3 linked regions of the Rattus norvegicus genome follow. The protein of the gene in region 3 interacts with the protein of the main gene of each other region in a pairwise test. Links are inferred from orthologs where the notes say so. Each region holds a gene or a part of one and is shown on either strand. Other genes may lie near its edges.

Region 1 (3,649 bases), on a different chromosome or scaffold from region 3:
CATCATTTCTCCCAAGCCCTAAAGTTGCTCTTTTCAGCAACTTAAGTGGGACTCATTCCAGTAAAGGTGTGCATCTTTAAATTAAAATACTGTAATTTATTTGAAATATAGCATTAAGTTTAAATAGACCTTTGAAGGATTTCATTTGTTTTTAGAACAAAGTTAGTGAATTAATATATTTGAATACTAAAATTTCCTTACTAGTTGTAAAGTTATTGATGGTTCTACTTGTGAATGTTTAAGCTGATTAGCTACAGAATGGCTCCTGGGAGATGGGTAGTGCTGCTACTATTCTGGCTTCCCTTCTAAATGTAGAGGCGTTGCTTCCTGGGCCAGCTGCCTCTTACAGGCATCTGTAGAATTTATTGTTTAGAATGTCAGTGGGTTTGAATGTTACCTTCTCTAAGGTTTTAGGGCAGAGATAACTGGGTGGGAACAGTTAAATCTCTCATATGTGGTACAGCCTAACATTAGGGTATGCTGTACCATTGGATATATTGGGCAATGTATATAACCTCATGATGTGTTTTCTCGTGAATTGTTTTTGCATTGTTGATAAAGCTAGTATACTCCTTGGTTTTAGCCTATAAAATTTAAATATATAAAGAAACTATTAAAGATGTAGTCAATTTTAAATGACCTTTAACTTTTCTAAAAATGTGAAGTTTTGTACTTATATATATCAGCTAAAGTATTATAGCATTCTTTAGTGTACTTAGTTTGATGCCACTTTTAGTGTTTTTGTTGCTTTTGTCTGATTTTTATGAATGTTCATTTTAAGACTCCTTGTTGAAATGGGACAGTTTCGTTCTTTGATAAGCCCGAGAAGAGGATTCCCTTGGGTGTTGACCTCCTCTGCATGATGTGCCCATGCATCTGAACTGCACCCAAGGGCCTTTCCTTTCCCAAGTGGACTCCCTCCCTGGAGCTGTGGCTCAATCATCTGGAGAAGGACGGGGCTACAAATGCTGCCTGAAGAAAAGGAACACAGGAAGGAGGACAGCTTGTCTGACAGTTGGGAGGCTTCATGCTCAGCCTTCTCATTTGAGTTTGCATGTTTCTCTGCACTATGGATTTTGAACATTTAGATTTCTTTAATCAACTACATTTTAACTAAGTAGCATTTTCTTTCTAAGCATTGTGCTTTGCATGATAGCAGGTCATAGAGAAGGAAAAGTAAAGTTAAAGTCGGTTCTCGTTCATAGCAACATTATCTGACATTCAGCCAGCTTTTTCCCCCAGTGATTTATTTCTTTCCTGTATTCAGAATGTTCCCTGTTACCTGTGGGGATTCCCAGAGTACCCAGCACAGTCCTAGTGTAGAACCCTTAAGAATAACAACCTTTGATGACAGGTGGTGGCATAGTTGCCCATGGCATTACAGTCTTCCTGGTTTTGATTTCAGGAACTACATGAATGACAGCCTTCGCACAGATGTCTTTGTGCGGTTCCAGCCTGAAAGCATTGCTTGTGCCTGTATCTACCTTGCTGCCCGGACACTGGAGGTAAGTATGTGGCTGCCTGGGTTTTAGTCTAGATTCTAGACATTTCTCCATCCTGTTGGAGATGTTGATATATTTGTCAAACTAGGTTCATTTGCAACAAAGGTTCTTTGTAACTGACAGGACATTTTCAGGTGTCACCCTAAGAATCTTACTGGCCTTGAAGTGTTTTTGTGGTGGTGGTGGTGGTGGTGGTGGTATTTTTTTGAGACAACATCTCTGTTATGTAGCTCTGGGTGTCCCCAGACTCAGAAAGATCCACCGGCTTGTTTTCTGAGTGCTGAGAATAAAAGGGATGCACCACTATACCTGGCCTTGGAGTTTTAAGGAAAGTAACATGATAATATTTTGTGTTCACAGATCCCTTTACCTAATCGTCCACATTGGTTTCTTTTGTTTGGAGCAACTGAAGAGGAAATTCAAGAAATTTGCTTTAAAATCTTGCAGCTTTATACACGGAAAAAGGTTCCTCTGTATGTTTTTGTGTTTGTTATGTGCTTGTGTTTGGCCAGAAGCATCTGGTTCTGAATGGATGATTCTGGCTTTTCAGGTTGACTTGACGCATCTGGAAAGTGAAGTGGAAAAGAGAAAGCACGCCATCGAAGAGGCAAAGGCACGAGCCAAGGGTCTGCTGCCACCAGGGAGTGCGCCAGGCTTGGACAGTGCTACTGCAGGGTTCTCACCCGCTCCCAAGCCGGGTGAGTGTCCACAGTTTACACCCCACAAAGGGATAGCAGTTTGTGACCTGACTGGTTTGGGGGTGTGAGGTTCACCTTTCTTGGAATTGAGCCTGAAGCGTACGTACCTCAATAGTATGCTGTAAGTCAGGGAAGCCCTGACGGCTTTGTGTTCATATTAATATGGACTGGCATTTTAAAATGCTGGTTTGTTTTTCATTTTTTTATCATATTTACCAAGCTGACTTGTCAACTGATTAAGTTTTTAAACTTAGACTCTATGATTATATTGTTGGAACACAGAATATGATAACTCATTCCCTGGGCTTTGAGGAAAAGTGGTGTGAACAAAAGACCTGTCTGAGTCTCGTGTATATTTTCATTCTTGTCCCAGGGTCTTATCTAGTATATTTTGTATTGAAGAAATTTCTGATTATATTTTTTAAATTCTTACTTGATTCAGTAGAATCCCCCAAAGAAGGTAAAGGAAGCAAGTCTTCCCCACTCTCTGTAAAGAATGCCAAACGGAAAATGGAAGGCCCAAAGAAAGCCAAGGGCGACAGCCCTGTAAATGGGTAAGATTATCATTGTTGCCCAGATAGCCATTGAAAGCTGAAGATGCTCCCGGTCTGTAACTACTCTGCTTCTGTTTGCAGCTTGCTAAAAGGGCAGGAGAGTCGAAGTCAAAGCAGGAGTCGTGAGCAGAGCTACTCAAGGTCCCCATCACGGTCTGCTTCTCCAAAGAGAAGGTGTGTCTGGAACTTACCCATAAGAGCCTTACCTGTTGTTTTCTTGGGTAATAGGAGGCGACATAGATGTCTCTTGGGATAGTGAAACATTGACTCCTGTTTGTTTGTTTTGAGAGATGGGGTTTCTCTGTAGCCCTGGCTTTCCTGTAACTGGCTCTGTAGACCAGCCTGGTCCCTGAATGCTTTATCTCTTTGTTTCAATAATTTATCTTTATTTTATGTGCATTGGTGTTTTAGCTGTATGCATGTCTTTGAGGGTGTCAGATTCCCTGGAATAGGAGTTACATAGTTTTGAGCTGCCATGAAGGCACTGGGAATTGAACCCAGGTCTTCTGAAAGAGTACTCAGTGCTCTTAACCGCTGAGCTATTTCTATAACTCTGGGATTTTAAGTTTATGGTTTCTCTCTCTCTTTCTCTCTCTCTCTCTTTCTTTCTCTCTCTGTCTCTCTTTTTTTTTTTTTTTGAGACAGGGTTCTTTTCTGTATTCTAGCCCTGGCTGTCCTCAAACTCATTCTGTAGAGCAGACTGGCCTTGAACTCAGAGATCTACCTCCCTCTGTCTCCCATATGCTTGGATTAAAGGTGTGTACCTACACCCAGGGAGATGGTGGCTCTTCACCTAATGTGGTTTTCTTTGAACTCACGAGTTTGTTTGCTGTGGTAGTGGCATTTAGTTCCAGTACTTAGGAAGCAGAGGCAATCAGATCTGAGTTCGAGGCCA
Region 2 (2,426 bases), on a different chromosome or scaffold from region 3:
TAATCAGTCCCTGGGTTGCCCTTCCAAGCTGGCAGAAAAGGAACCCCTAGTCGTAATTTCCAAATAATCCTGGAAAACAAGGGAAAAAAAAGTTTTGTCCCCTCTTCTGGCTCCTTCGTATGATTTTCTGGGACCTCTTTCCTTGTGTTAAAACTTGGAACTGTGAACAGTTGCTTGGGGGAACCCTCCCCCACTGCCTCCTTCCCCTCCACTTCCTCTGCTTCCCCACCCCCATTTTTTTTTCCAGGCTTGAAACTTTCGCTTGCCGGTGTCAAGCAGCCAATACAGAGCCTTAATGGCTACTTTAACGGGGAAAAATGCATTAACCAAAATCAACGAGGAACGTACACGCTGTATAGAGCCATTTTTCCATCAGGGTCTCAGATGCTCAGCAACGGACACCCCCTCGGACCACAGCTGAAGGCTAGGGATGCTGGCCACACAAGTCAGCCAGGTTCCTCGGACATCCCAGCCAATACAACAAAGTCGTCTCCAATCTCAAAGCAAGAAGACAATCACATTAAGAGAATCGGGTGCGTTTGGCTTTGTGCACAGAGCGTGGCCAGCGCCCGGCGGCAGACAGCGCCTCACAGGATCACACAGGCCGAGCAGCAGCCCTCGTCGCCGTTGGGCTGTGCCGCGTAGTTCATCTGCCTCACGATCTCTGCGAATAGCTCATCCACTGAGGCTTTGTTTTTGGCCGATGTTTCCATGAAGGGGCAGCTCCACTCCTCGGCCAGGGCCTTGCCCTCGCCATAGGAGACCTCACGTTCGCCCTCCAGGTCCACCTTGTTGCCTACCAGGATCATGGGTACGCGCTCGTACCGTTTCACGCGGATGATCTGGTCCCGCATGGGCTTGATGTCCTGGAAGCTCTGCTGGTTGACCAGGCTGTAGACGAGGATGAAGCCCTGGCCATTCTTGATGTACAGGTCCCGCATGGAAGCGAACTGCTCCGTGCCCGCGGTGTCCAGGATCTCCAGAACCGACGGCGACGAATCCACCTCGATCTCCTTGCGGTAAAAGTCTTCAATGGTTGGGTCGTACTTCTCGATGAAGGAACCTGTTACGAACTGCACGGTGAGCGCGGACTTGCCCACGCCACCCGAGCCCAGTACCACCACTTTGTACTCTCTCATGGCTCCGTCGGCGCCCTCGTCGCGCCTGCCGCGGCCCCGTCGGGGCTGCGCGCCGGGGAAGGCTGGGTTGGGCGGGCGGGTGGACTTCTCCCCTTCCTCAACTCCGCAGGAACAACCCTGGCGAGACTAGCCCGGTAGCACGGGCTCGCCAACAGGCTAGCAGAGCCCCGCGCCGGGCCGACCGGCAGCGGGGGCGCGTCCCTAGGGCGCGGGTCCCGGGCCCCGCAGCAGTCCTGGCGGAGGACCCTGAGGACAATGCGCGCAGTCGGAGCAAGACAACGGCTGGAGCTCTTCGCCACGGCAGCCTGGGAGGGCCGGGAGGCGGTGGCGGCTGGTTGCAGAGGCGGCTGCTAATTGTGCGTCCGGCTGAGACACGCGTGGCATGAGTCCCCACGGAACGTGCGTCCAGCTCCGCGGCCCATCACTCTCTCCTCTCTCTCCCGCAGCCTTCGCTGGGCGAGGGCTTCCTACTCGCCGCGCGCAGCCCGGCCCTCCCCGCCCAGCGGAGCATGCCCAGTGCGCCGCCCGCGGTGCCCCGCCCGAGCTCCGCTCCAGCTTTTCCGCCGCATCGGGAGTGGGCGTGGTAGAGGGAGGGGCAATCAGGGACTGGGCGGGGCGGGGGCGGGGCGGCGCGAATCTTGGAACTGGGCAACCCGGCTTGTCTGTGCTTGTAGGTGGAAAGCTCTCCAAACCCAAGCCACCACCACCGTCTGGGCTCCGCGGGCCTCCTGAGGGCGCAGCAGACAGCAGCTGGCTGTGACCTCCTCGTCGGCTTCCGCTGTTAAAGGATAAGACACCTATTCCTAAACCCAGGCCGCTGCGCACCTCTAAGAATCATACACTTGCAGGGCATTTTTCAGGCCGGGGAAGGTATAGAGAGGCTCGGGCCCCAACTTGGCACTATGTTCCCGTGTCATTTCCCCTCGAAGAACTCGGCTTGAGTCCCTGTCCGGACCAGGAGCTAGCGGGTGGGAATTTGTGGGTCGCCACAGCCTTCGGGGCAGGAGTTGCCGGGTCATCCTACCTCCCCTTTGGCTAGAGCCAAAACCAGGCTAGTGGATCGAGCCCCGCGGAAGGCCCGCGGCTCCCGCACCCAGTCAGGGCATGCTCAGTCGGCAGAGCAGGTTCGGGGCTTGCAAGTAGGAAGGTTTCGCACCGCACACCCACACGCCAGCTCAAATTACCTCTCCCAGACTCCCAACTCATTGGCCCCAGGATGTGAGTCTCACACCCCCAAATGTTTTCCCATTGGCTGTTCCCGAGGTTTTGTCACTTTAGACAGCTTCA
Region 3 (4,203 bases):
GGTGGAAGGAGAGAGCCCATTCCCGTCAGCTGTCCTGTGACTTCCGTACTCACACGGTGGCACATGTACACACGGTTAAATAAACAGATAAATAAATAAATAATATTAAAGAAGAGAGTACTAGCCAGGCATGGCGGCACATGCCTTATCTGATCCCAACACTCAGGAGGCAGAGGCAGGAGGATTTGTAAGTTCCAGGACTGCTTGCTCTACACAGTGTATTAGGGGACAGCCAGGACTACAATAGACCCTGCCTTTAAAAAAAAAATTAAACATACAAACAATTACTGAGGAGCTGAGTGACCTCTGACCTCTACTTTAGAAGCCTCCAGTCATTAAGCACTAGTTACTAAGGCTCCCAAGAAAACAGCACAACCAGGAACCCCCTCCCCATCACCTTCCTTTGGGGTTACCAGAGGATGGAGCCTGAGACCAGATCGGTCAGTGTTAGACTGTGCTAGGGGGAAGCAGGCTGCTGGATTCAAAGCCTTTTTCCTTGGGTGAAAATAGAAATATTAGCACTTGCCCCATTCCACTTTAGTTCAGATCCCAGAGAAGGGTGGGAGAAGGTGAGAGTGTATTGATTACTGGGCACAGGCCAGGTGAGGAGGCAAGGCTGGCCTGGCCAGCAACTGGGCTTTGTTTTGCACACCACCGATCTGTGGTCATCTGGGTCAGACTTCAGTAGAGGCCTGGGGCTTGGTCAGCTTGGCAACCATCTGCTGTCTGTCCTAGGGGGGAGTGGAGAGCTGCTCCGAGCCTCTAGGAACCCCATGGTGTGGTCCTGGTTAGGAGGAGGATAGCTGCTGGGGTTACCATGGAGACAGGGAGGCCAGGGCCCAGGGGAGCCCTCAGCCTGCTAAAGGGAGCTGCTGGAAGCTGGAGGAGAACCACGTGACAATAATGAGGTAGCAGGGTCCCTCAGGATTTGGAGAATTTGTCATATCCCCAAGCCCCTAAACTATTCCTTGTTCCCCACTCTGAGCTACCTCTAAGTCCCTTGAACCTCTCTTTCTCCGACTCAGGTCGAGTGGCTTTTTCTCCTTTTCCTACACAGTTCTCCTGGCAGGCAAGAGAAAAAGATGCACCTAGATTGTCAAGAGAGGGGCCAGAAGGGTGTCATTGAGATGTTTCTGTGTGCCAGGCACCGGCTAGTATCTAATGTGACACACCATGACCCATTCTTTGGTGTGGCTTTTACACCTAAGATATAAAACCTAAGAAAAAACACCAAAGGCTCAGAGCATGACTAGGAGACTGCCCCGGTGTTGCCCAGATAAATACTGAAGCAAAAACTCGATCCTAGGACTCTGTAGTTCCAAGGGCAGAAACCACACAGGCAGGTTTGGAGTACGAAAGGCAGGGATGGCATCTGTGCTTGTGTCACAGACGCACATTGGAGCCACCTTCTTACAGGGGGATGTGCACAGCACTTTCGAGACACAGGGAAAGGGATGCTCTGACACAGAGGCAACATGGCTCGGTACATGTTCAGAATCCAAAGGAACACTGGGTAACGGGAGACTGGGCATCAGGTGGGCATGATTTCCAGGAGAAGGAGCAGGCCTGAGGTTTATGTTCAGGGAAGTGGGGCTGGCAAGAAAGGACAACTCAGTCTTGAGCCTGGGAGTACTATGAGCCAAGACGCAGCACCCCGCTGAACATGGAGGCTGCAGGTGGAGAAGGCAGCTGGCGTGGAGATCCCAGACGGAGCAGCAAGGACAGGTGGGGGTTTGGGAGAGAGCCTGCATAGCTGGTGGCTTTCGGGCCTCAGGGCAGGGCAGGGAGGGTGAGTCACTGAAGGCTCGAAGTGAGAAGGGTTACTTCCTGGTGTCCAAGAAAGAGAATTTTCCTAGCCCTGCAACCGCCCCACCCTCAGGGATTTAGGGATCTGGGCTCCCAATCGTCACTTGGACTCAGAGCCTCAGCTTCTGCCTTCCTAGAACAAGGTAATGAGTACCCTCACCTTCTTCATTGGATGGGTTCAGGGCCTTTGTGCACAATTGGTGCTGTCACTGGCTGCTGCTACCCAGAAACACCATCCTTGCTTTAGGGTCGAGCATAGGAAAGTCTCTCAGGAAAGCTCCAAGAGGCCATGCTGGCAGAGGTGGCAAGAGGGGACTTGGAGGACATCCACCCCCCAACCCCATTGAGTCCCCTCTGCCCACCCTGCCCCCACTGCCAGGAAGAGAGCCAGCCATCCTCCCTCCTCCCCCACTCATACACAATGTCACTTCCTGGTTCTCACAGGAAACTGCAGTGCCAATTAAACTCTCTTCATCCCCCCCAAACCCCAGGCCAGACATAGGCCTGGCTTAGCCAAGAAGAATAAGGACCGACATTTCAGCCTGCCTCCGGGTTCCGGACCCGGGAAGGATAGAGAGCGCGTTCCTTCTAACCCTTGCTGACCTGCCTTTTCTCAGCGGCTGCAGAGCATCCTCATGGGCATGCTCAACCCTTAGATTTCTTAGCCGGTTCCAACCACTCTCACCATCCCACCCCACCCCGACCGCTAGCGGCGCCCACCTGCACACGGTGATCAGGTTCCTGCGCTCCACGATCACGTTGCGGGAAGATGCTTTCTTGGAGGGCAGCCCCAGAGCCATGGTGGTCTGGACAAAGCTCGCTTCCATCCAGATGTGCGGCCACTACTGCCGCCGCCCGCTGCCCCCCACCCCACCCGGCGCCCCGGCCCCCCTCGCAGGATCACGCCTGGGCCCTCTGCCCCCGGGGGCCCTTCGTCCTCTTCACTGCCATCCCTCGGCCTGGACACCTAGGGCCGGCCCCTTCGCTCCCTCCCCCAGCAGCGATTCCGGAGCAAAACAAGGCCGGGGAGGGAGCTCTCCGAGGTGCTGAGCCGGGGCTCGTCACCCCCTCCCCCAGTCGCCCGTCTCCCCCTCCCTCCTCGGCCGGTGACGTCAGGGCCATAAGGCCCCGCCCCGGCAGCCTGGGACCAATCCACAAAGGGCGCAGGGTTTGGGGGAGGGGAAGGACTGAGGCCCTTGAGAGAGCGGAGGGGGTCCCCCGGAGAGACAACGGAGATTGTATAGAGAAGGGCCCTTTTCTCCACCCCCACACTCAGGGCTGGGGATCCTCGCCTAGCATCTCAGCTTTGACGCTTCCCTTGTTTCTGACCTGAAGTCGGTGCTGTCTGTCTTAGATTTCTCATTGTACCCTGAAGAATGGAGACCCTCACCTCCTTATCCCACCCCTACCCCCTATCCACTCATCCCAGGCTTGCCAGCCCGACCCAGGCCACTTTCAGAGACTGAAGGTAGCATTAAGGTGCTAACACTTCAGAAACTAAAGGCAGCACAGAAGTTGCCTCTTCTGTCTACCTCTGCGGGGGCTGCATTCATCTGCGCTAGCCAAGCAAGCCAGTCTCTCCACGGGTGGGGGATGGGAACTCAGCGAAAGCATTTGAGTCGAGAGCTTGGAACCACTAGGATAGGGATTTGGGGTTGCTGGCAGTCTGGCATCCTGAACTCCAGGCAGGTTCTTAGCAGCAGCCACCTCACCGACCAGTAGATTTTAAGGATTTAAGTAGATTTACATTGATAGGGAGGGCCGTCAAAAATGGTTAGCTTTTAGCTGGGCGGGACTTGGAAGCCCAGTTTGGCTTCTGTGCTACCCTGGGTTCCCATGTTGCTCTTCACGTCCCGGTTTGCCTGCTCCGTTCCTGGTAAACCACTTCCAGGATTTGAACATCGCCCGTGTTCGATTGGGTAGCTCCTCTTAATGTGGAATTTAAGACTATACATTATGGATATCAATGACTTATCAGATCTGATTTGCACCATTTTCTCCCACTCTGTGAGTCGTCTTTTAAAACTGTTGATACTGCCATTTGATACTCAGAAAAACTTGAATTTCCATGAAGTGTCCAACCTGGCCTTTGTTGTTGTCTCTTGTCTTTGGTGTCAAATCATTGCCTTTGTATGTTTTTGTGGTTTTTTTTTTTTTTGGTTTTTTTTTTTTTTTTTTTTTTTTTGGTTCTTTTTTTCGGAGCTGGGGACCGAACCCAGGGCCTTGCGCTTCCTAGGTAAGCGCTCTACCACTGAGCTAAATCCCCAGCCCCTGTTTTTGTGTTTTGTTGTTTGCTTATTTGCTTGTTTTGTTTTGAGACAGGATCTCACTATGTAGCCCTGGCTAGCCTGGAATTCCAATTGTAGGACCAGACTGCTCTCAGACTCACTGAGATCC

Evidence for each region.
Region 1: the proteins of Rundc3a (region 3) and Ccnl2 interact in binary tests that used the Homo sapiens proteins (3 or more experiments, as listed by UniProt). The two-hybrid records come from large-scale screens. The link is inferred for Rattus norvegicus from reciprocal best matches to the Homo sapiens genes RUNDC3A and CCNL2.
Region 2: the proteins of Rundc3a (region 3) and Rap2b interact in binary tests that used the Homo sapiens proteins (3 or more experiments, as listed by UniProt). The two-hybrid records come from large-scale screens. The link is inferred for Rattus norvegicus from reciprocal best matches to the Homo sapiens genes RUNDC3A and RAP2B.

What each region holds. Positions count from the first base shown.
Region 1 is NC_086023.1:171,706,210-171,709,858, forward strand, and holds part of Ccnl2 (cyclin-L2), read left to right. Parts: exon of another isoform or gene 1-1,268; coding exon of another isoform or gene 1,269-1,405; coding exon 1,406-1,505; intron 1,506-1,862; coding exon 1,863-1,967; coding exon of another isoform or gene 1,968-1,975; intron 1,976-2,052; coding exon 2,053-2,200; intron 2,201-2,642; coding exon of another isoform or gene 2,643-2,645; coding exon 2,646-2,754; intron 2,755-2,835; coding exon 2,836-2,928; intron 2,929-2,934; exon of another isoform or gene 2,935-3,510; intron 3,511-3,592; exon of another isoform or gene 3,593-3,649. UniProt on the Homo sapiens protein: Involved in pre-mRNA splicing. May induce cell death, possibly by acting on the transcription and RNA processing of apoptosis-related factors.
Region 2 is NC_086020.1:147,748,100-147,750,525, reverse strand, and holds Rap2b (ras-related protein Rap-2b), read right to left. Parts: upstream 1,140-2,426; coding exon 588-1,139; downstream 1-587. UniProt on the Homo sapiens protein: Small GTP-binding protein which cycles between a GDP-bound inactive and a GTP-bound active form. Involved in EGFR and CHRM3 signaling pathways through stimulation of PLCE1.
Region 3 is NC_086028.1:87,851,449-87,855,651, reverse strand, and holds the start of Rundc3a (RUN domain-containing protein 3A), read right to left. Parts: upstream 2,871-4,203; 5' UTR 2,634-2,870; coding exon 2,527-2,633; intron 1-2,526. UniProt on the Homo sapiens protein: May act as an effector of RAP2A in neuronal cells.